3 linked regions of the Rhinolophus ferrumequinum genome follow. The main gene of each other region encodes a partner of the protein of the gene in region 3 in a complex. Links are inferred from orthologs where the notes say so. Each region holds a gene or a part of one and is shown on either strand. Other genes may lie near its edges. The genes, in order: MAGI2, WWC1 and DDN.

Evidence for each region.
Region 1: the proteins of DDN (region 3) and MAGI2 are in contact, whole or in part, in a crystal structure (PDB 6KKG), measured with the Mus musculus proteins. The link is inferred for Rhinolophus ferrumequinum from reciprocal best matches to the Homo sapiens genes DDN and MAGI2. Residues at the interface, in NP_001013763.1 of Mus musculus: Asp222, Arg223, Pro224, Pro225, Pro226, Tyr227, Val228, Ala229, Pro230, Pro231, Ser232, Tyr233, His237, Arg238, Thr239, Leu240, Gly241; in NP_001164217.1 of Mus musculus: Glu308, Met309, Ala310, Tyr311, Thr312, Glu313, Gly315, Tyr318, Ile320, Asp321, His322, Lys325, Thr326, Thr327, Ser328, Trp329, Asp358, Tyr361, Tyr364, Val366, Asp367, His368, Arg371, Arg372, Thr373, Gln374, Phe375.
Region 2: the proteins of DDN (region 3) and WWC1 are in contact, whole or in part, in a crystal structure (PDB 6J69), measured with the Mus musculus proteins. The link is inferred for Rhinolophus ferrumequinum from reciprocal best matches to the Homo sapiens genes DDN and WWC1. Residues at the interface, in NP_001013763.1 of Mus musculus: Tyr227, Val228, Ala229, Pro230, Pro231, Ser232, Tyr233, His237, Arg238, Thr239; in NP_740749.1 of Mus musculus: Glu13, Glu14, Ala15, Arg16, Asp17, Tyr23, Ile25, Asp26, His27, Arg30, Thr31, Thr32, Ser33, Trp34.

The regions. Positions count from the first base shown.
Region 1 is NC_046303.1:44,639,357-44,647,422, reverse strand, and holds the start of MAGI2 (membrane-associated guanylate kinase, WW and PDZ domain-containing protein 2), read right to left. Parts: upstream 3,097-8,066; 5' UTR 2,620-3,096; coding exon 2,319-2,619; intron 1-2,318. UniProt on the Homo sapiens protein: Seems to act as a scaffold molecule at synaptic junctions by assembling neurotransmitter receptors and cell adhesion proteins. Plays a role in nerve growth factor (NGF)-induced recruitment of RAPGEF2 to late endosomes and neurite outgrowth.
Region 2 is NC_046307.1:35,410,377-35,417,571, reverse strand, and holds the start of WWC1 (protein KIBRA), read right to left. Parts: upstream 3,072-7,195; 5' UTR 2,864-3,071; coding exon 2,745-2,863; intron 1-2,744. UniProt on the Homo sapiens protein: Regulator of the Hippo signaling pathway, also known as the Salvador-Warts-Hippo (SWH) pathway.
Region 3 is NC_046293.1:50,070,507-50,078,480, reverse strand, and holds the start of DDN (dendrin), read left to right. Parts: upstream 1-4,953; 5' UTR 4,954-4,973; coding exon 4,974-5,182; intron 5,183-5,587; coding exon 5,588-7,487; 3' UTR 7,488-7,974. Other genes in the region: PRKAG1 (5'-AMP-activated protein kinase subunit gamma-1), read left to right, coding at 180-306, 413-578, 733-770, 1,040-1,186, 1,292-1,396. UniProt on the Homo sapiens protein: Promotes apoptosis of kidney glomerular podocytes. Podocytes are highly specialized cells essential to the ultrafiltration of blood, resulting in the extraction of urine and the retention of protein.

The sequences.
Region 1 (8,066 bases), on a different chromosome or scaffold from region 3:
AACACAGAAGTTCAGTGATCAGAGACTACGTTGGATGGAATCATGGCGGGATTTAAATGACACTGAGTCCAGATCCCCTTCTTACATAGGAATCCATGGCACATGTTCATTTTAGCTTCTTCATAAACACCCACACTGGTGGGGATCTCATGAATTCACAATATAGCCCACAGAGTTTTGGAAAGCTCTGTTAGAAAGCTCATCTTCATGAAGATAAAGATGCTTCATCTTTTTAAAATTCCCATAGACTCATCTTAGTTTTGCCTGTGGAGTATCACAGAATTCGTCAGAATTCCTTTCATGCCCTCCCTTTCTCAAGTTAAAGTCTTTCCACTGGATTTTATAGGAGATATCCACAATACCCAATAACCTACCTTTCTTTATTTTCTGGACACATTCTTGCTGCTAGAATCATAGTTTGCCAAGGTCCATCTCAACAGGTAGTGATCCGAATGAATAAAACAGTCAATTGTGGCCATCATTGCAAACTATAACAGGACAATCACTTCCCTCATTAGGATACTATCGTTAGTCAAATTTAACAATGCATTAACTTTTGCAGCCACTTTCCACTATAAACACCAAGCTTGTTACCATTAATTATGTAGTGGATTTCTTGGTCTCAAACCAGAACTTCGCATTTAAATCTATTGCTATAAGACAGTATCATGACATCAAATAGGTTAACATGAATCCCCATATTTGACAATTGGGCATATCACCTTGAAAAATACCAAAATACTCTATTTGCCTTCCTACTTAACTCATATTCTTCAATTTCATACACTATTAAGCAATGTTGACCTCCAAGTCAATGTTTAAATTAGCCTATCTCAAGTCATCAGCTATTAATACTCAAGAATCCCCAACGAAAACGTTTTCTTGCATGACAATTTACATTCAAGAAATTTCACCTGAAATATCTTTTCCACATGTTTGCCTTTAAAACCTATTTTTATAGAGAAGAACATCTCCCTAAGAGTATTTCTTGACAGTTTTCACGAAGTAAGATAAGTGCTTGTTCAAAAGGCAGGCAATGACATGCTCAATTCCATCTTTGAGGCGGGACAACCAATGGAACCCCACCAACAAACCTTTGCATTGATGTGAACACGCATATGTACCCTCCCACCCCACATGAAGTGTGCCGGTGATCTGTAAACGGATGCGATCACGTGTGGAAAACAAAGATACACTACTTTATTCTAGTTAAAGTTGTCTTCTTTCCAAGAAACCGTTTTCGCACTCGTCCCTGCTTCAGGACCATCATTTTCTTTCATGCGAAGACAGAGTTAGGGAGCGTTCTGCCAAGATTCCAGTCTCCCTAAGTCCTCATCACAGCATTCAAATGAAGCTCCTCTGATAGGTGGCCTGAGCTTTTCCCTATAACTCCTTAGAAACTTGACCCCTGTCCCCATCGGAAGGCAGAGGTGAGTCCAACCACAGAGAACTTCCACTCAAAGAGGGCAACCACTGAGTACAGAACATTCATTCGGGGAGCCATTGCTCTCCTCCCAAACCCCTGACCCTACAACCCGCTCCCGGTGCCGCGCCTTCTTCCAGAGCCTGCTCCAGCGGGCCAGCTCCGGGGTTAGTCAGTGCGCACGTGACGCGCGGTGCTCACGTGATTGACTGTGGACGGGGGCGGGGGACAGAGGAGTGAAGCAGGGAAAAGTTAAGGAAGACCGGTCAAAGCGCTCAAAGCAATCGGTCCCTTCTCTTCTTCGTCAACTAGTGGCTCAGGGATTCCTAGGAGATGGCTGCGGGTCAAGGAGTCTGCGGTCCAGATCCCCAAATCAGGGGGTGGAGGGGGGCGTAGTTCTCTGTTCGCCCAGCCACCTTCCGCTCCTCTCCGCCCTGCCCTGCTCGTGATGCCGCTGCACCCTCAAGTTGCTCCTTCCTTCCATTTCTCCCTCCCTCTTTTTTCCCTTCTTCCCTTTTTCTCCCATCCTCCCTCCCTTCCTTCCTCCGTCCGTCCCTGAAAGCTCTTCATCCACTGCGGGCGATGCCACTGACGCACATTCAGTTTGCCCCTGGAGCTCGCCTGCACCTCTGAGGTCAGACAAGGCCGAGCACCTTCCAACGGGGAGGGTATAACTGCGCAAACAAAGTTGCACGCCACACCGCATCCTGCCCTCCCTTCCATTTAGCCCCGATTCGGATTCTCCGCAAAGCTCACTTGCCCTGCCGGTACTCTCTCGACCTCACCCCACCACCGTGCAACACACCCCCTTCCACAGCGAGCCCACCCTTCCATTGCCCCGCGCTTCGAGCGGTCCAGCTGCCTGGCAAAGCCCGGAGCAAGCCGCTGCGCTCACCTTGCTTGACACACTTGAGCCGGAGGGGGTCCTTGCAGTGTTTGATCACGGCCAGCACGTCCCTGATGGTGAGCCCCGCCACGGGGGTCTCGTTCACCTCCAGCAGCAGTTCCTCCGACACCAACTTGCTGCCGCTCTCATAGGCCACCTTGCCGGGCTTCACCTCCCCCAGGTAGGGGAACTGTCCATTCTCGGCGCCCCCCTTCAGTTCAAAGCCCAGCTGGCCCTCCGGGTTCCTGCCAATGACACTCTCATGGACTTTGCTAGTCCAGTGGCTTTTCTTTTTCAAGCTTTTGGACATGGCAGTGGGGCGAGTCGCCTCAGCTCCTGAGGGGTTCCTTTGGGTAGGGGGATTGGCGATGAGAGAATGAGGATGGAGGAGCAAGGGGGCCAAGAGGTGAGAAGAGCAGACTTTGCCTTCCTCCCCCTCTGTTCGGTGCTTTCCCTCTTCTTTGGATGGAGTATGGACGAGGAAGGGGGAGGATGAGAGGGACGGCTGGGCAGAGGTAGGAGAGCTTGGGTGAGGTTGTGCTGTCCCTTGAATGACACTCAAAGCTGTGGCCCCGCAGCAGAGGAGAGCTGAGGAGGTGGTGGTGGTGGTGGCGGCGGCGGCGGCAGCCTGAGCGAGCAGTAGCCGAGCTGGTGAGCGGGTGGAGTGGGGGTGGGGAAGGAGGGTAGGGATGCCGGGGGCCACTCCTGCGTGGTGCGAGTGGGAGCGCGCGCGCGCCTGGGTGTGTGGTGTTAGCTGATACCCATGGCAGCTGCAGTGGCAGCGGCGGGTCCGTGTGTGTGTGTGTGTGTGTGTGTGTGTGTGTGTGTGTGTGCACTAGTTGTACAGTACTGGCAGGAGGGGAGGAGGCAGGCTGAGAGGAGGAGGGGCGCGCGCGCGCCGGGTGGGGGACCGCTTCGCCGCTGTCTCCCCTCCCTCCCTCCGCAGCTTGACCCGGTAGTGAAGGCAGAGAGAGAGGCAGGCTGCGTCCGCCTGGCAGCCTGCGAGAGGAGGCGGGAGCGGGAAAGGTGGGGAGCCGAGGCCCGGCGTGGGAAGACGGGCAGGCAGGGCTGCGAGCCCAGTGCGGACCTTTCTGCAGACTGCCGGCGGCCGAGCGGTGCGCTGGGCTGCGGCGCTGCGAGGACGCTCCGTCTGCCTCAGACGCGGGATGGGCTGGAGCAGAACTAGCGAGACCGCGTGTTGAGCGCGCCGCGGTGCGGGCGCTACAGCTGGAGCGCCGCCGGCCCCCCTGGCGCGGAATCCGGCCGTGAGAGGGCTGACTGCGGGCCCGCTGGGGAGCTGCGGGAGAGGCCTCGGCGCTGGGAGCCGCGGGGGGCGCAGGATCTCGCTGTTTAGAGAGACTCAGTCTCTATGCGGTTTCGGTTAGATCGTGGCAGAGTTCTCAGACTTCCCATCGGAGGCGCGGAAAGTTAAGAGAACTGCAGGCGGGGCCCCCTGACAGCGGGGATGGCGAGGTAGCATCCCCTGCCCGGGGCAGGCTGAGCCCACGCGTCGGGCTGAGGGAGGAGGTGTCTGGAGAAAGGCGATTCCCGGGATCAAGGGAAAGGGGCTTCGGGTTTCCAGGTTGGGAGGAGCGGAAAGAAAGGGGCTGGGTGTGGAGTGGGGGGGTGCAGTGAGCAGCCTCCCCAGAGAAATGGACAGTTTAACCGGGGAACTGCAGCGGAGACGGCGGGGGCACGCCCTCACCCTGCAATGCCCGCAGATTCGGGCTGGTAGCTTGGGAAGAAGCCTTAAGGTGATCTGACCCGACAACTTCCTCCGACTGCGAAGGAAAAGAAGGCCGGCTCCGAGGGTGAACGTAGCGGCAGAATGGGGGCTGGCACTCAGGTAGCTGGCCCACCACCAGGCTCCTTCCCTTCGCCAAGTTTGCAGCCAGGAGGAGAGGTGAGGACTGAGGCACAGGGATGCAGGAGCAATGCTGATTATCACTCAACGCAAATGTCGTGTGAGATGTTAGGAGTGGTTTAAAAATCTCTGTAATTGGTAAATTAATTTCGTTTGCCTTACTTTCAAAGGATATGTTTAAGACAAGGGAAAAAAAAGTCGCACACCCACTCATCTCTTTAAAGCAAAGCATGAAAAGCACTGAGCAATTAGTATTCTTGATGTCTGAGATGGAGATAGTGTGGGAGGCGAGCGGTACAGTTAAAAATGTTTAGTCGACCCAAACAAAAAGGCCAGGTTTGAATTCAGGCTCTGCTGCTTACCAGGAGTGTGATCTTGAGTAAATTGCTTGACCTTTCTGAGCCTGTCTCCTTATTTGTTAAATAGGGTGAAAAGTACTAAATCTGAGAGGCCTGTGATGAGGATAAAATCAGGTAATGCATGCAAAGTGCTTGCCTGACTTAGGTGGGTAGGCACTCAAAATGGTAATTTCCTTCCTTTTCCCCTGGCAAGTACAGCTCTATTTGGGGAAGAGGAAGATCGAATTTAGTCAGAACTGGAAGAGATATTGAAGAAAGATGATTTGTTTAACCATGTGTCTCTTTTTACTTGAGAAAATGGATCCCCAAGGAGTTGGCTGCGACTGATAAGGATCATTCAGTGAGCCAGGGGCAGTGCCAGGATCTGAAACCAGAGCTGCCGGCAGTGCCCAGGAGTGGGCAAGACTTTTTGTAGTATAGCCCAGTCTCACCCAAAGAAGTTGGGTTTCAGCATTACGAGATACGATCCTAAGTGGAAATTGATGAGAACTGAGTATGTATTTTTAAACACCAATTACAAACTAACATGTATGGGTAACACTAATATTTATCAAGTTCTAACTACATGTGAGATGTTATCCTATAGGCTCTCCATATATTAATTTATTTCTCCTGACATCTTAATGAAGTAGGTACTATTGTCATTCCCCTTTTAAGATAAGGAAACTGAGGCATACAGAGATTAACTTGCCAGGCTGCAAATGTAGTCAGTGGGGAAACTAATATTCAGACCCAACCCTTTTGGCTCCAGACCTGGTCTCAATCACTGCATTGTCTCTCTCTCCATGCACTTACCATGTGTCATACCAGCAATCAGCATGATGTTCAAAAGGTGTCTGCATTTTATTGTAGGGGTGATTAGGAGAAAAGAAAACAAATGAAGCTGGAGTTTGTCATAAAAGTATTTTGCCCATGAGGACCCAGGACAGTCATTGAGGTGTGTGTCAGCTAATTCAGTGCTTCTCAGCTCCCAATTCATCTTCTTTGCCCTGAATTGTGATAGTAGAAGCTACAAACATGTCCTTGTTCTCAATTGGCACAATATTAGGACTTGTCATCAGAAGGTGCTGGAGGAACACTGCATAAAAAAGGGGCTCCCCTTTTTAGTTCCAGTGCTTCTTGTTTCTATGGTGTGTTGGTCAGTGGGTGGCTTTTTGGCCAGTGGTGTGCAAGAAACCAGTGTTTCATACCCTCCAGTAAGTTTGGCCAGTTCCCTAGTGTGTGGTGTTCCAGTGGGTAGCTTCCTAGCAAGTTTCACTGGCACCCCAACTCGTGGTTTTCTCACCAGCCCAGTGTGTGACACCTCAACATATTTCTTGGTGATCAAGTGGGCCACATCTACATTATCTTCAATGAGATCTGTCTGTCAGCCATTGTAGGGGAGAAACGGGGTGGGGGTGGAGGTTCATCTAAGTTTTTCCTTCCCTGGATATTCTCCCACAGCCCTACAGGAAGTGGTTGCTCTCTAAATTCAGTTTTCTTCAGTGTTCTTCAGTGATCTCTTCTTTTAGTAGTCACTCACCTTTTACTAGCTAATAATTCTTTATATTAAATTTTCCTGCTCCAACGATGGTGTGATTTCTGTCTCCTGACTGAACATTTAAAAGGGATGGTGTAGAGCAAGGGTGTCCAAACTTTTTTCAACGTTTTTCGCCAAGGGCCATATGCGGTAAAATACACAAACAGCCGGGCCACTCACTCGAGGTGAAGTATGTATTGCCTCACCTGGATTATTTAAGTAAACTAAATATATTTTTGGAATCTGCTGCGGGCCAATTAAAAATGGATTGCGGGCCACAGTGGGCCCCCCGGGCCGCAGTTTGGACACCCCTGGTATAGAGCCTTGAGTAGAGCACTTTCCTGGGAATTAGAAGTTGGCATCCTGCCTTTAGTTGTGCAAACTTGACAAAGTCACTTAAATTTCCAGAGCTTCTTCCCTCATTTGTAAAAAGGGGGTAACTATGTGAATTACAAGGTTGTGTGAGCAGCATGTAAAATTTGAATGCACTTTAAATGCACTTAAATGTGAATACACTTTAAAACTGTGAAATGCTATCAAAATTAAAGGTGTTAATTATCAGTCTAGGAACAGAGAGTAGCAAAGAAGAAGATGGAGATCCTTTAAGAAAAAAATTACGTGTAGGAGTATTCTGGGGACTTAGATTGTTTCCTGAGGGAGGAAAACAGCATTTTCTGTAAGATTTATTGTCATCAAATAAATATATTATCTGTTGGTTAGTTGGTTGATTGGTTAACTTTATCTAGCTTTTCAGAGATAAAAGCAAAGAGATGTGAGTCTCAAATAGTTCAAGTTTCCAGCTCTATTACAGCCATTTTGAAATGCTAGAATCAGACTAATTTGGTTACATTCTATTCTGGTATCCTTCACATTCGCTTTATTTTTACTTTGTCTCCTTTACCCTTTCTGAGTTTGATGCCTGTGTCAAGAAAGAATTATTTCATTGCTGAGCACTCTATGTGCAGAGCATGGCACTAGATATTGCATGCTATTCCAAAAGAAAAATAGTTTAGGAATCTTAAAAGCTAAAGGAAAGAATGCATGAGTGCATTCAATCCTTACAAGAATTCTATGAGGTGGATGCTTATGGCCGACTCCACCTCATCCCCTTGAATTTCTTTGACTGGGTCTGAGTACCCTTTCTCTAGCTTCTGTGTTCTTTTGTGCCTCATAGCCAGCCCCTGAGACTCTTTTTGGAAGGCTGCCCAAGGGGCTTCTGGGCTCACTTTGCAGAGAGAGTCAGAGAGAATCACCTGGGAGTTTACTTCTCTCCAAGGACATCCTTTCCTAAGGATTGCCATATACAGCATAAAAGTCCAGCCCTATCACCTCTAGTAGTAAGAAAACCTAAGATGTAATTTATACCCCCAGTCTCCCCTCCAGGATCATGCAAATGCTAGGATTCTGCCTGAAATCTTTTCCTTCCGTATTTTGCTCACTCTGGTAATTTACGGGTTATATTTCCTGGAAGCATTTCTTGATAAATCACTTGCACACAATTCTCATCTCAGGGCATGATTTTAGGGATCCTGATCTAAGACATGATTATTCCATTTTACAGATGAGGAAACTGAGGCTCACGTATTTTAAATTGCCCGAAGTCACACTACCAATAAAAAGTGGAGTTATGATTTGATCCATGTCTGTGTGACTCTGAAGTTCCTACTCCTAATGCCGTGTTACATTGAAAGCCCCTAACCCTGAGTGTTTTTAAATTAACTGATGGAACAGAAGTGGCCACAAAACTCAGCAATTGATCAACAGACATAAAAATTGTATCCCTACAATATGAGATCTCTAAGTGTTTGAGGAGGAAGAATAAGGAACCATGGGTAGTAAGACCAAAACATGGTACACTTCATCTAGAAAAATCTTTATAAAAGGTGAGACCTACCTAACACAAGGTATGAAGGGATGCCCCACGTTTTAGCAGAATATAAATGTTCAATGTGATTTTCAGTTAAAAGCTTCCTTCATGCTAAGGTTGAAGTGGGTATTTGTATTTTTCCTATTGC
Region 2 (7,195 bases), on a different chromosome or scaffold from region 3:
TCTTTGTAATTTTGTTAAATGTTTTGGTGATGGTGTTTTTAAAAGCACCATCACCCTCCACCTGCCCACCTCTCAAATTCTGCCATGGAGTGAAGCAGGGGAAAGAGAGGCCTAGGGGTCTGAAATCATATCTGAGAGCTGGCAGCGTCCTTAGGGGCCATCTCATCAACTCTCTTCTCTCACCAATGAAGCACTTACACCTCAGAGAGCTCAAGCAATTTGCCTGAGGCCACCCAGGCAGGACTAGAAGGCTGAAATCCCTACCAGGGTGTGCAGGAGGGAAATTCCAGAGAGCCACGAGTGGATGCCCTCTGCTCAGCTCTTTCCCAAAACTTCCAAATTTGGCCCACCACAACAGTGACCCCAGGGTTGCACTCAGCACCCCAACCTCAGGGGCTCACACCAGCCCAATGCACGTGAGATGACCGGGAGGTACAAAACCCAAGGCTTGCAAGGTGAAGAAGAGAGCAGCTCCATTAAGCACCAGTACGGTTTTAATCCCTCTCCATTGCTTGCCAATCTGTCTAAAAACAAAGGCTGCACAGGCCTGTTGCTAGGGCCGGGGGCAGGTCAAAGTATTGAGCTAAAATATAATGGCACTGGGTTGTTTTATTTCCTCCACTGTAGTTTTAAGGATCCTTTCTATTTATGGCAACAGATATTGCTAGCTTTCCATTTGTGAAAGTGGTAAAAAAATTTCTAATTGAGTTGATTTAAAATCAAGTGTCACGTAAGCAATAGCATAGGTGGATGTGGCAAAAAGTAATGAAGATGATTCCCGTAATACTAAAATTTGGGAAATTATGCTCTAGCCCAGTCGGTTTTCCATGGAAGCTATACTGCTGGCCCCTCTTCCAAGGGTAAAGAATCACTGTTGTTTGACAAGCTTTTGGCAGCTGTGTTATCCTCTCAGAGCCCCAGAAAAGTCCGCAGATGCATGACCTGGGGTGCTCCGCAGCGCAGGTATGAGGCTGTCCACCTCTGACGTCCTGCTGCTGCCAGCACTTCTTCCTCAGGAAGCTAAACTGGGGGAGGACACAGAAGCTTGAACTTGTATCTGTTCTAGGAGAGGACGATGGGCTGCCCCGTTCACCCACACAGTAACAGAGTCCCTGGGACAACTGACCCCGAGGTAGGTGGCGAAGGCGAGTGAGTCAGAACACGTTAGGTTAGACCTTCGGAGCTGGCATATGGCAGGGCAGTGGAAGGATCAAAACCAGCAAATCACACCTCCGGGCCTCAAGTCTTCTATTGTTTGAAAACAGGAGTCGGACTCAGATCTTCTACGTCCTTCCCCGCTTTTAAAAGTTCCACTTTTACGCCTCCCCTTCCAAGCTAACCATTAGTCTCACAAATAGGGAAACTGAGGCTCAGAGGTAAAGGCAGCTTGCCTGAGGGACGCTTTCTAGCATTGAAATGTTCTCTTCCAGATTTACTTTAATGAGACAGTCATCATGGTTCTGAGCATAGAGGAACCCAGTAAATGTTGAACGAATTTAAACGCTTACAGAAACTACTGGAAATCTCAATTCACATCTTTCGCTTTTCTGTTTCTCACCCCTCCCCTTGCTACACACCCATTCTGGACTTGTGGGACCTCCATCCCAACTCCTGCAAGATGAAGGGTCCAAAAAATTCACCTCCATTGCTTTACAGTCACCTGACACCCAAGGTCACAATGACCAGGTGAAAATGTCACATTCCTAAGCCACTCTGACCACAGACCGCAGGGGCAAAGGACAACAAAGCTACCCCAGAAGGTGGTCCTCCCTTCCCCCGCACACATACACGGGGAGGAAGTGCGTGTGTGCAAAGAAATCCCAACCAGTGGAAACCCGGAGAAAGTCTGGAAGCTAAGAGCCACACCAGCCATCTCAGACTCCACCTGCCTCAGCAAAAAAATGAATAAAAATCCCGTGCTACAGCCGGCGTGGTGGCCATCAAGGTCAGAGCGTGCTGGTGCAGAACTGAGGAGCCCGGTCCCCGGGGGAAGAAAGGCAGGAGAAAGAGGCGATGGGCTGGGCTTTGCCAGAGGCCTCTCACCCCATCGACACCCTAACAGCTTCCAAGTTGCTGTGGGATTCTTGGGGAACCAGTCTCTCCATCAGCCCTCCCTAGCTCCTTCCTTTCCTTCCCACTCCCGCCTCCAGGCCTCTCCCCACCCCACCTCGGCTGCTCCAGTACTCTTCTCAGAGCCTCCAAGTCACCTGTCAAAAATCACACTCCAGGCAGCCTTTCCCTCCGCGTAGTGTCCTTCCTCCAGCAGTCTCCCACTGAATCCTGGGGTCCTACCACCCCCTCTAAACCAGATGCTTCCGCATCCCCCCTCGCCGCTCTCCCCTGGGGTTGCTGGGGAAAGCCTCCCCCGGGAAGCCCCAGCATCACTCCGCTAGGTCGCTCCCCGCGCCCCCGGCCGACTACTCTTTCTAAAGGGGGCGGGGGGCGGGGCTAGAGCTTAAGGTCAAAACTCTGGGCAGGTGCCGGCTGGGGCCTAAGTCCTCCATCCAGGGATGGCAGAGGGGGCAGCTTGGGACAACTCACTGGCCGTCCCCTCCTCCCAGCAGCTCACAGGGACAGGAGCAGCGCTCCAGAAGGGGATGGGGCGGCGGAGGCGGGGGGGGACAAACTGAAGAAAGCACAAGAGGCTGGAAGAGCTCTCCCTCATCCCCTGCCCAGTCCCGGCTGGTGGTCCCTGGGACAGAAGGGGGCCCGGGTTGGGGGGTGGGGGCCGCCTGGGGTCCTACCTGTCCCGCGGGTCGATCCAGCTGGTGGTGCGGCTCGTGTGGTCTATGTAGTAGACCTTGCCGTCGAAGTCGCGCGCCTCCTCCCAGCCCTCCGGCAGGGGCAGCTCCGGCCGGGGCATCTTCCTAAGTGCGGCCCGCGCTCCCCCATGCAGCTCCCGGCAGCCGCGGGGGCCCCAGGCTCAGCGGCTCCGGCTGGCTGTACCCGGCCCGGGCGGCCGCCGAGGCACCATAATGGGGGGGGGGGCGTCCGCGGATTGGGGGCCCTAGCGAGGGCTGGCCCGGGTGGCGCGGCTGTCCATGCGGCCCTGAGATCCCACGGCCCCAGCCCGGCGCCGCCCGCTCCTCCGGCCGCCGGCCTCTCACGCGGCCATGTGCGCCCGCAGCCGCGCGGTGCGGGCCCGGGTGCGCGCCGGGCCGGCGGGGCAGAAGGAGCCGAGCGCAGCGGCCGCCTGCCCTCCTCCGCCGCGCGGCGCGCTGCGCCCTCCACGCCGCTCGCCGCCGCCGCCTCTCCCTCCCCGCAGCCCCGTGCGGCTTCTCCTCTCGGCTCCGCGTTCTGCGCTCGCACGGTTTGCGACTTCTGCCTCCGCCAGGTGCGGCTAGGGCGGTACAGGTAACGCGCTGCCCCGGAAACGGGAGGCGGAGCGCCGGGCGCCTGGGTTTCCAGGTCTCCTCCCCACGCCCAGCGCCGCGAGGGCGGGTCCTAGGGCCCGCGACGCGCCCCCTCGTGGGACAGTCCGAACCGCCGGCCCCCCGCCCCTTCGCTGCCCCTGTCAGGGCAAGGGGAGACCTCCCGTTACCTGGGTCCCGGACCCAGACTGCAGCCCCAGGACGCTAAAGCAGGACCCGCTCTGCCTCTGTTTCCCAACGCTCCTGGCTTTCTCCACCCCGCGTGTCCAGGCTCTTGGCACAGGTGCCCCAGATCTTACAACTCCCCGCTTCTCTGTTATGTAGAATTAGGAGTCAGGCAAGAAGTGGTTAAATAGAAACATTCTTGTAAATCGGGGAACATAAGTTTTCCAGAATCTTTGATCCCTTCCCCCAACACACGCACCATCTGTCTCCCTCTTAGTCCATTCTTCTCCCCACGTTGGTCCACCCATCCCCCACCCCACCCCGTATTTGCAAATGTAGCAGGCTCTCCTAGGGGTCCATAAAATTAGGAGTGCTATGAAGCCCCTCCCGGGAGGTCTTCCAGAGGGTGTCAGGGTGCGCACTTTGTAAAAGTAATAGTAATGATGTTGTTGTTTTTAGCTAAATTGAATACTTACCTTGTCCCAGGCTGTGGGCTAGCAGTTTCACAGGCGTTCTTTCCTGCGATATCCTTGAGGTAGGTATGTTATGGGTTTTGAGGGAGGGTGTTATGAAGAGAAGTAAAGAAAGCAAAGCAAAATTCCATCTTGAAAAAAAGTAGAAGAAATTCAAAAATCCGACACAATATTTCTTGAGAAATGAAGAATGTGTAATTAAATGCAAAAAAGAAAGTAGCACGACTGAGTTGAGGATCAACGGACGTGTCTGTTTCCTAAGTGTGTGGTTGGCCATTTTTTGCCCTGGATACGTGTCAGGAAGCTGGGCTGGAGGAATGAGGCCCAGTGCCGTGTATCCTCTTGGCTGAATCCCACAATCTCCCTGACAAGCCAGCATCCTGTACTGGGTGGGCCCAGGTGTGCTGAGCAAGGGTGGGAATCCCATGTTTGTGGTCTCAATGTATGGGCTCAGCATTTGGCCCTTCCTCCCCTCTTTCATTCCATGGATGCCATGCACGAAAGTCCAGAAACGGCCTTCGACTGACCACCAACACCGAAAAGTAGGAGTTCCCCATCCTTTCATGGGGCATTGCCACAGCCCTTGACACTTGCTCTGCTTGGGCCAAGCCTTCACTATAGAAAAATCAATAGTCTCCCACTATGGATTAGTAAAACCAACATGGTGCTAGGTGCTTCACACACATGATCTCATTTAATTCTCACAACAACCCTCTGGAGTAGGGAATACTACTCATTATATCCATTTCACTGATGAGAAAACTGAGGCTCCAAGATGTTGTTCTGTTGCTCAGGGACACAGAGCTAATCAGTGAACCCAGGTCTGTCCTACTCCTGCACTTGTGCTTTCAAATACTGACCTATACTTTCTCTTTCTCTCTCTCTCTCTCTTTCGTTTTTTAATTATAGCAGGTCCTTGAATAATATTTTGCTCAGGAATCAGTCTGTTTGGGTCCCTAATCCACCCTATTTTCTAGCCTTTTGACCTTGAGGAACTTGCTTAAACAAAGTCTCAGTCTTCGGTCTGGAAGACATTGTGACTAATACAGACTCAGTAGGCTTGTTGAAAGAGCTAAGTAGGAAGTGAGGAGTGTAGAGGGCTTGGCACTCCGCAGGCAGCCATCACCCAGCGCCCTCACTGTGGTACATCTGGAGCATGACTGCCTGGCAGCAAGCATTCCCCTGCGACATGTGAACCGATGAAGTCTTTTCTGTTCCAAACACAAGCCCATGCCTTTCCTCTTCCTGAAAATTGTGCACGGTTGCTTGTGATAATCCTAATTACTGGGTTTGTTTTAGTCTTGCTTGGCAACCAAGCCCTTCTCACTGGCTGGTGTTGGTCGTGAAGGGAAAACACCTTCTACACTGCCAAATCCGACTTTCTTTTTTAGCCCAGGTGCCGAAGCCCTGGCATTTACCAAATGGCTGTTCCTTCAGACCTTTAGACCTCAACTGGGGAGTAGGAAAGTGAGACCATAGCAGGAATTGGCTCTCTAAAGCCTTGGTCTGTTTGTCCACAGTACTTCCCTCCATCTCCCCCGCCCCAACACACCCCCCGAAACAAAAGAATCCCAGGTTATCTCCCAGGAGCTGCAAGCAGGGTGAGGTAATAAAACAGATGACTGCCTGCCCCAGGTGATGGCGGGTGAATCATCCCCAGGCATTCTTCAAGGCTGAGGACAAACCTGAAAGGGACTAAAGGTAAAACTGGCTGAGCCACGTGACAGAGTGAATTGGACGTTACTCTACAGGTGACTGAACTGCAGGAATCTGAACTGAAGGCAAGAGGCCCAGCCTTTCCCGGCCTTTCTCCTGGGGCTACGTCTGGCTGCCCGTGAGTGGAGCTGGAGGAGACAGGATGGCCGGCCTGGGGGCCGAGCAGAAGTGACCACAAGCCAAGCCTTTCTTCATTTGCTTTCATATCCAGTCAGCTCACTGGAGACACCTGTGCCGGGGATACATTGTCTTGTTTTTATAAAAGAAGTCCACTTAAATCCTTTCCCCCACTCAACAACAAAGGAAGGCCAGTTTCCACAAATGTGATTCAGAGAATTTCAGAGCATCAGGGTAATGTATTTCACGAAGATGGGAAGGAAGAGAAATTCAGCTTAAAAAAAAAAAAAAAAAAAGGAACAGATAGGTCAGCAATAGTTTCCGGTTAGCTTCTGCATTCTTCAAGGAAGTGGAGGCTATGGAAACCTCTGCCGAGAATTTTCTTCCGACTCCATAACTGTACCGCCCTACCTCATGCTATCCCTCCCACACGTCCCAGGGAATGCAGTTACGTTTCTATGGCTGAGCCGATAATGTCCCCTTTCTTTAGTCATGCACTAGATGAAGTTCTTAACTGGACTCATGGACTGATTTTTTTTTTTTTCCCAATGATGGGAAAACATGTCCTAAGCCTGGGAAAATTAGGGTGGAAGAAACCTTAGCAGTATGAGAGATGAGGCAGAAGAGACGGTTTCTTATTTATCTCTGGGTCTTCAGTGCTTGAAAATAAAATAAGTCTAGCATTGCCTACTTCTTTTACAAATAGGGAGATGGAGTTTCTATGGATAAGTCTAGCATTGCCCTAGTTCTTATTAGTCCCATTTTACAGATGTGTAACCTAGACTCAGAGATGAAGTGACTTTCCTATGGTCACGTCGTAAGTAATACAGCCAAGATTCCAACTGAACTCCCAGTGGGTTTTACTTCTGAATTCACAGCAGCGTGGCCTCTACCTTGCCAACAAAGGAGGAACTTTGGGGCACTAACAGTCTGGTTGGACGTGGGTGGAAGAGCAGCCAGGAGACTAGTCTTGAACTTGGACTTCCATTTGGATTGCATATTTATCTGGTGTGGCTGGAGGTGGGAGGGGGCATAGCTGAAGTCATAGCTGTGTTTACAAGGAAAGGGCAGAGTTGAAGTGGGTGTTCTGAATTCTAAGCTGATAATAGATCAACCTGAGTTTTGACCTCCACCAGTGCTGTCACCCAGACCCACCTGGAGGTTAGCTATCAGGGCATTTAACAGGCGGAGCTGTCTCCATGAAAGAAGGGGCACCTTTCTCCCGGTGCTGCCTGCTCTCCCTCCACTCCCCACCCCACCCCCCTTTTTCTTGCTGGTTCAATTCATTAAATGAACTGAATTTCTCCGGGATAGGAGGCAATCCTGGGGCTGGTAGGAGAGGTTTCCACTCTC
Region 3 (7,974 bases):
TGCCAGTGGCATAGCTGGACACACACACACACACACACACACACACACACACACACACACACACAACTTCCCTCCCCCAACCATCACTTTTCCCTGTTTATAAACACACTCTACGGAGCTATTTAACTACCCTCAGGCCCAGTATGTGGAACTTACCGTTATTCCCCACCTTTCCATAGCTTGTTTGATGCTGTCTCTTCATTAATTCGGAACAAGATCCACAGGCTGCCAGTTATTGACCCAGAATCAGGCAACACCTTGTATATCCTCACCCATAAGCGCATCCTCAAGTTCCTCAAATTGTTTGTAAGTGCTCCTCGGCCCAGTTTTTACTTCTTATATACTGGGTTGGAAGGATATCCACGGGTGGTGTAGGGGGCCTTGAAAATCAAGCTGATGTTTCCTTCCTCAGATCACTGAGTTCCCCAAGCCAGAGTTCATGTCTAAGTCTCTGGAAGAGCTACAGATTGGCACCTATGCCAACATTGCTATGGTCCGCACAACCACCCCAGTCTACGTGGCTCTGGGCATCTTTGTACAGCACCGAGTCTCAGCCCTGCCTGTGGTGGATGAGAAAGGTGAGAGATTTGGTAGAAGGCGAGGGAGGGCTCCAGGGAATCCAGGGTGGCTCTGGGAAAATCTGTCCCCTCAGCTCAGCCTGGAGGGTGATTCTGTGGGCAGGGGAGCCTTGGATGCCAGATCCTCCTTGCTGAGCTGCCTCTGTCCCCCTAGGGCGTGTGGTGGACATCTACTCCAAGTTTGATGTTATCGTGAGTGATTGTGGAGGGCTTGGGAGGTAGGGGAAGGGGTGGTGTGTTGAATGTGGAGAGGGAGAAGAAGAGAGCCTCTTCTGGGACCTAAGAGTTTTAAGAAACTTCCAAGCTTTCAAATCCTATTTGAAAAGGAATTGAATGAGCTGGGTGAGGCTTGTGGGCATGGCTAATAACTGCTCTAAATCCCTCTGGCGGGGTTGGGTGGGCTCAGCGTTTGGGGGCTGGCTCCCTCACTTCCCTGCAAGCACCTTCTCCTCTCTCCCCAGAATCTGGCAGCGGAAAAGACCTACAACAACCTAGATGTGTCTGTGACCAAAGCGTTACAACATCGATCACATTACTTTGAGGGTGTCCTCAAGTGCTATCTGCATGAGACCCTGGAGACCATCATCAACAGGCTGGTGGAAGCAGAGGTAGGGGGCCAGCCATGAGAGTGGGGTTCGGCAAGGCGGGCATGAAGGACTCCCCTAACCAAGGCTGGCACTAAACATGTCTTTCTCCCTTGTTGCTTTCTGCAGGTTCACCGACTTGTAGTGGTGGATGAGAATGACGTCGTCAAGGGAATCGTGTCGCTGTCAGACATCCTGCAGGCCCTGGTGCTCACAGGCGGACAGAAGCCCTGAGCTGGGGGTGGGGGAGGCGGCACTGGGCAGAATGCCCACTCACTGCCTGCCCAGAGCTCTGCGAACCACAGACGGAACCTTCAGAGACTTGGGACTCTGTTCCCTGCTCAAGAGCCCCCTGCCCTTCTACCTGGGAGCTGGGAAGGAAGTAGGGGAGGAAGGAGAATGGATTTTTAGCTGTTCTAGCCTCACACATACACGTGAGGAAAACTTTTCAGCCCAGCCCGTCCTAGCCCGTCCTCTTAGGCGTAGCCCATCTTCTGGGTGAGCTATGGACTCTGTGCCCCTCGGGCAATTCTGATCTCTAAGAGATCCCAGACCTCAGCCAGCCTTTGCCTCTATCTCCATCCCTGACTCCACCCTAAGATAATAGCACAACAAAACTCTTCATAAAAATATTTTTATTCATTTGTTTCATGCTATGTGGAGGAGGCTGAGTCCATTTAGTGACATTTCTTCCCATAAGGGGCGAGGGGAGGATAGTGGGGAGGACGGCCTTTGGGTTCCTGTGCTGTATATGAAGGGAGGTGACTTAGGTGGAGGAGTAGGGCAGAGTGCTTAGCTGAGGTTATTGCTTTTCATGGCAAACTTAATTAAAATGACAGGAACCTCTTCACGGTATTGCAGTGTTTGCTTTTTGTAGTTGATACTACGGCTCCAACCTTCTGACTTCATATGGCTTCTTCAACTCAAAAACAATAATAATAGCATACACGCTCATATAAAACTGTGTAAGACACCATTCTCAGTGCTTGACATAATATTTATGTAATCCTCAACAATAGTGGATATTATTCCAGTTTTATAAATTTAAAAGAAACAGCACAGAGAGGCTTTGTAACTAGCCCAGGGCCACACAGCTAGTAAAAAGTAGAGCTAGGATTTGAACTCAAACAGTCTGGCCCCAGAGGTCATGCTCTTTACCACTACACTAGACTTACTACTACCTTTCTAGATCTCTGTTCATAACTGTTCCCCACCCTATTCCCTGCAGTCGTCCTTAATTACCCCACTTTCACCTCTGCCTGGACCATAGCTGGGACCCCAGGAAAATTTCATAATAGTGTTAGGTCTCCAGAGTAGACAGAATACCTGTATCCTTTAGGCGGAGAGACATGCCACCATCATTAGACTTTCTTAGGGAAGGTTGGATTCTGGATTTTGCTGAACTGTCTTTGAACGTACAAATCCCTTGTGATTCTTCCAAAAAGGAAATGAGCTGGAGATAGGGGGTGGGGAAGCAGCAGGACTGTGGTCTCCCCCTCAGACCCTTTTCCTGTGCTGAAACCATGTGAGCCAAAACAGTCGTACCAAACAACATAAGGATACCTAGATTGTTGGGTATGAGCCAAATTCTGGGTACCATCTCACCACTGCCTTGTAGTTACGCTACCATTTGTTTTGGATATCAAGACCAAAAGCAATTTCAGAGCAACTCCTTTCCCCTACCTACAATGTGCCTGTGAACACAGGCATAGCATACGGGTCCCTCCAAACCAGGCTTCTGACAAAACACGGGGAAAGAAAGCATCAAGACAGCTTTCAGTGCTACATCGTGGCCTCAAAGAAGCCATGCTTGTGCACTTACCTCTTCACAGCTCTCGCAGCACATTCCCAGACTTGAGGGAGGGAAGCATTCCAAGTTATTAGAGTTAGGGTGTTTATGTGTGTGGGGGTGGGTGCATGGAGGAAAGGACAAATGTCTTCTAGTGTCACATTCCATCATGAAATAGGGTTTGTCTAGGGAGGAGGCAAGGGTTTTAAAAAGCCTAGGACTCTGGGGGAACCTAGGTGGAAGGAGGCACCTTCAAGCAAAGAGCCCGCAGTGCAGCTGGTAGGTGTAAAGGGGGGTGGTCAACGGATGGGATAGGGAATGTGTGGGGTTTCTCTAAAGGTCCACCTAAGGGAGCAGGAGGCCTGGGTTTTGTTGCTCTGGTTCTCAGTAAGTCAGTCTCTGCCCAGCAACAACCCTCCTGGCCCTATCCCCTTAACAGAATAGGTCTGTACCCAAAGGGCTGCAGGTACTTTAACGGAAAACCAGTTGGGATCTCCTGCCTCTCCCATTGCCCTCTAAAACCCAATCAGTCTCAGAGTCTGAGGATGGAGCGGAAGGAAAGACAAGTAACAAAATTTGGGAGCCGTGTAGCCTTCTCTTCTTACCTATTCCTTTCAGGAGAGGCAAATTATCCCTTCTATCTCAGGAACCATTGCCACACACACTCTTCCCCCACTTCCCCAAACCCCTCCCCTCCACTGGAGCTGCTGCCATGGTTGCCAGGCATGGTTGCTAAGTCTCTGCATGGAAGGGTTGGCGTGGGCTGTGCTGCCACTAACATTACCATGGTGAATCAGGGGACACCTGGTATAAGCTTGGGGGGGAGGGATCATATGGATATAAGCAACAGTCCCCCAGGACAGAATGAGGCTAAAAGGTGAACATCTTGAGCACCACTTCAGGTGAGGGCTGAGTGAGCTAGGCATTGTGATGGTGGTGACAGGGAGCTCTACACTGAAAAACGGGGGCCACTTTTATCATCAGGGTTGCTAGGGGATTTGGTTTTGGCCAAGGGAGCACACCGTTCCTCCTCCAGCCCCTCTGAAAGGGTGCAAATGCATAAGCACCCTAGTCCTCCATAAGGCTGGCAGAGCTGTGTGGGCACAGAACAGTATGACCCAAAAATTCTGGCTTGTGGTTTGGGGGAGAGAGCATGCTACAGGGAGAGGGCTGCATGGATGCCCAAGGACAAACATCTACAATGGAAGTGTAGGGCAGCTTCCATGGCCAAGACACACTTCTGTGTCCTGCTGTACCAGCAGCCCTGGGCTACAGTTAAGGGTATGGGGGTCATCCTTTTTGAGCTTGGAGAAGTCCCCCACCCCAGACTTGCACAAAAGCTGCATGAAAGCCACTACCTCCTCCCTCCACCACATGGAAGCTGGTTACTCATCTTCTCTCTGCACCCGAACTGCCACTGCTGCTAAAAATAGCCCCCCAGCCGTGGGCCAGCTCCTCCTGCACCCCAACCCCATGGAAACCAGCAAGAGTGGCAGGCAGAGACCTTGAGTTCCATTTCCATCACCTGCCTGTCAGAGAAACTGAAGTCCGAGGCAGGAAGTCAAGGGTAGAACCCTGGTGGTCAGGCACCCTGACAAGCAGGGAAGTGAAGGGTTAAAACGGCAGGAAGGTTGAAGAAACGGGGGCGGGGCAGGTGGCACTGTCAGCTGGCATGAAGAAGTCCCCTGCCCACTTATGCAGGTCCCATCAGGCACGGGGGACAAGAGCAGTGGGAAGGGGCGCCCAATCCCGGGCCCCAGGGGGCGGCCGTGCACATGGGGGAGGTAGCAGTGCGGAGCCGTCCGCGCTGTGTCACATGCGCGCGCGCGCGCGCGCGCACACATACACACACACACACACACACACACACACACACACACACACAGGCATACACGTGTGCCTGGGTATATATAGTCCCCAGTCGCTGGGCCCGCAGCTCTGCAGTGGGCGCCGGCTTCCTGGGCTGGGAGGGGGCTCTCGGGGCGGGTGGGAGGGTGGGGGGCCAGGGTGGGGTGGGGCAGGATGCTGGATGGCCAGCTATTCTCCGAGGGGCCCAACAGCCCCCGGGAGTACCAAGATGAGGAGTCTGGCAGCTGCCTCTGGGTGCAAAAATCCAAGCTGCTGGTGATCCAAGTGAAGACTATTTCCTGTCATTATAGCCGCCGTGCCCCTCCTCGACAGCCCATGGACTTCCAGGCCAGCCACTGGGCCCAGGGGCCGCAGAGCCGCACGTGAGTGAAGGAGGGGTGAGGGGAAGAGAGTGGTGGGGGGTGGAATGGGGTCCGGACCTCCCCTCAGGCACCAGCCAGCGCTGTTGGTCCCCCTTCTCTGTCCCACGCCCTACTCCCCATTCCAAGGGCTGGGACCTTGACCTATTCCAGCGCTGTTTTGGGGGGACAGGAGTGGGTGTGAGAAAGGGCAGGAGGTGAGATGGGGCAGGCGCTATTAAAGTGTGCATGGAGAAATGGTGAGGAGTCCCGCTTCGACTTCAGCCCTCACATATATGCACGTGCACACACACTCACACACATACCTTCACACGGCTGCCCCAAGGGGTCGGCAGCGCTCCCAGCTCCCCGGACCTCGGCTCCCTTCCCCCACAAACTGCTCACCTGGGTTCCTGCTCATTGTCCCAGGTGTGGGCCGCGCCCGGGATCCCCTGAGCCACCGCCCCGCCGGCCCTGGGCCTCCAGGGTGCTGCAGGAGGCGACCAACTGGCGGGCTGGGCCCCCGGCCGAGGCCAGGGCCCGGGAGCAAGAGAAAAGGAAAGCGGCATCGCAGGAGCGGGAAGCCAAGGAGACCGAGCGAAAAAGGCGCAAGGCAGGTGGGGCCCGAAAGAGCCCCCTGGGTCGGCCCCGCCCGGAGCCTCGGAATGCCCCTCGGGTGGCCCAGCCTGCAGGGCTCCCAGCTCTGTCAAGGCCAGAGCGCCTGGGGCAGGTGGGGAGACCACCCGGTCCACTCGCTCAACCGCGGAGCAACGCAGGGGCGGCGTGGGCGGGGCCCTGGGGAGGTCGCAGGCCAGGGCCCCCCAGCTACGAGGCTCACCTGCTGCTGAGAGGCGCTGCCGGGACGGCCCCGCGACGCCGCTGGGACCGGCCGCCACCCTATGTGGCTCCACCTTCTTACGAAGGCCCACACAGGACCTTGGGGACTAGTAGAGGCCCCGAGCCCTCCCAGGCTCCGGTCTCATCCGCCCCAGCTCTGAGTCCGGCCAGGACAGACGGTGGGTGCACAAAGAAGAGGCTGGATCCTCGAATCTACCGGGACGTCCTCGGGGCTTGGGGTCTCCGACAGGGGAGGGGTCTCTTGGGGGGATCCCCAGGATGTGGAACAGCCAGGCCAAGGCCGGAGCCCCGCAAGGGGGCCGCGGAGAAAAACTTGGGTCTGGCTGCTGCTGGCCTGAACAGTGGTAGCGACGGCCACCCCCAAGCCAAAGCTGCTGGGAGCCCAGGGACAGCGACAGCTCCTCCCCGGGCTACAATTGCGACTCCCAGGCCCCCGCGCCCCGCTCCCAGATCCAGGCCCCATCTCAAGGCCCCTGGGGAAGGGAAAGAAGGTAGAGAACAGAACTGGCTCCCCAAATGCTGGATTCCCTCCCTTAAAAAGCAGCCACCCCGACATAGCCAGACCCTCCCCAGACCCTGGGCTCCAGGAGGCACAGGATGGAGAGAGTCCCTGGGTCACAGAGAGGGGGCCGGCCCCGAGACTTTGGAGGGTTGGAAGGCAACCCGCCGCGCCCACACCCTTCCCCGCAGTTCTCGAGGCCCCTCTCGTGGAGAAGGCATCTTTGTCATTGACGCCACGTGCGTGGTGATAAAGTCCCAGTATGTTCCAACCCCTCGAACCCAGCATGTGCAGCTTTTGCCCGCTGGGGTGCCACGCGTTGTTGGGGATGCCCCCAGCCAACCGAAGCCCAACAAGGAGTGCGAGAGGGCCGCGGTCTTTCCTTCCCCTTGCCAAAAGCTGCTGTTGAGCAATCGCCTTTCACACCAGCCAGGTGGGGGGCACGGGTTCGAGGCTGAGGGCGGGAAGCCAGCGGACTCCTCATTGGAGGAGCGCGCCTCCCGCATCTTGGGGCTCCCGGTGGGCGAAGTAAACCTGCGGGATGCTCCCACGCAGCCAGGTAGCCCAGAGCACTCAGCCTTAGGCCCAGCGGCTTTGGAAGGCGCGGGCAGTGCCGAGGGCTCGGGGGAACTGGTGGCAGTCCCGCGGCGGCCCGCAAACCAGTGCTGGGCGCGGAACCCCGGGCCCTACGCCGGGGCCTTGCGGGAAGCCGTGTCCCGCATCCGCCGCCACACTGCCCCGGACTCGGACTCGGACGAAGCTGCGGAGCTCAGTGTCCATAGCGGTTCTTCTGACGGAAGCGACACAGAAGCCTCGGGTGCCTCCTGGCGGAGTGAGCGGACCCGGACCCGGGAAGGCGGGAAGACAGCCGAGCTGAGCGACAGTGTCCGAGACATTCTAGGTGTCATCGGCCGAACCGAGGAGGTCCTCTTCGGGGCGAGGGACACTAAGGGGGACCCCACAGGGAAGTAGGGAGAGGCAGTAAGATGCCCTTTCTTGTATTTGTGTCCCCCAGCGCATCCATCCTTGGGCCCACTGGTCCCCTTTCTTCCTCACAGACTTCTTTGTAACCCTACCTATCCCGGTTCCCATACTCGAAATAGAAGCCGCCCAAGTGGAAAGAAAGGGAATATCTGCGATGTATGATTTTTTTTTTCCGGTGAGGTGAGGGTGAGCAGTAGACTTTAATGCCTGCTCCATTCAGGGCACTGGGGTAAGGTGTTCAGCAAGGGTGGCTGCACTGGGTGTGGAGCTGAGCAGAGAGGCCTGGCCAGGAGCAGGCAGGACGGCAGGGATGGTATAGACATGGGAAGGCAACTTCAGGGCAGAGCCTTCCCACGAAGAGGGAGAAAGTGATGCAGAGGCTTCAGACTGAGGCGACCACGTGACAGAGAGGCCCTTGGCAGAAAAGGAAGGGGTCCAGAAGTAACCATCAAAGTTCACTTCGGTGTCACAAGTC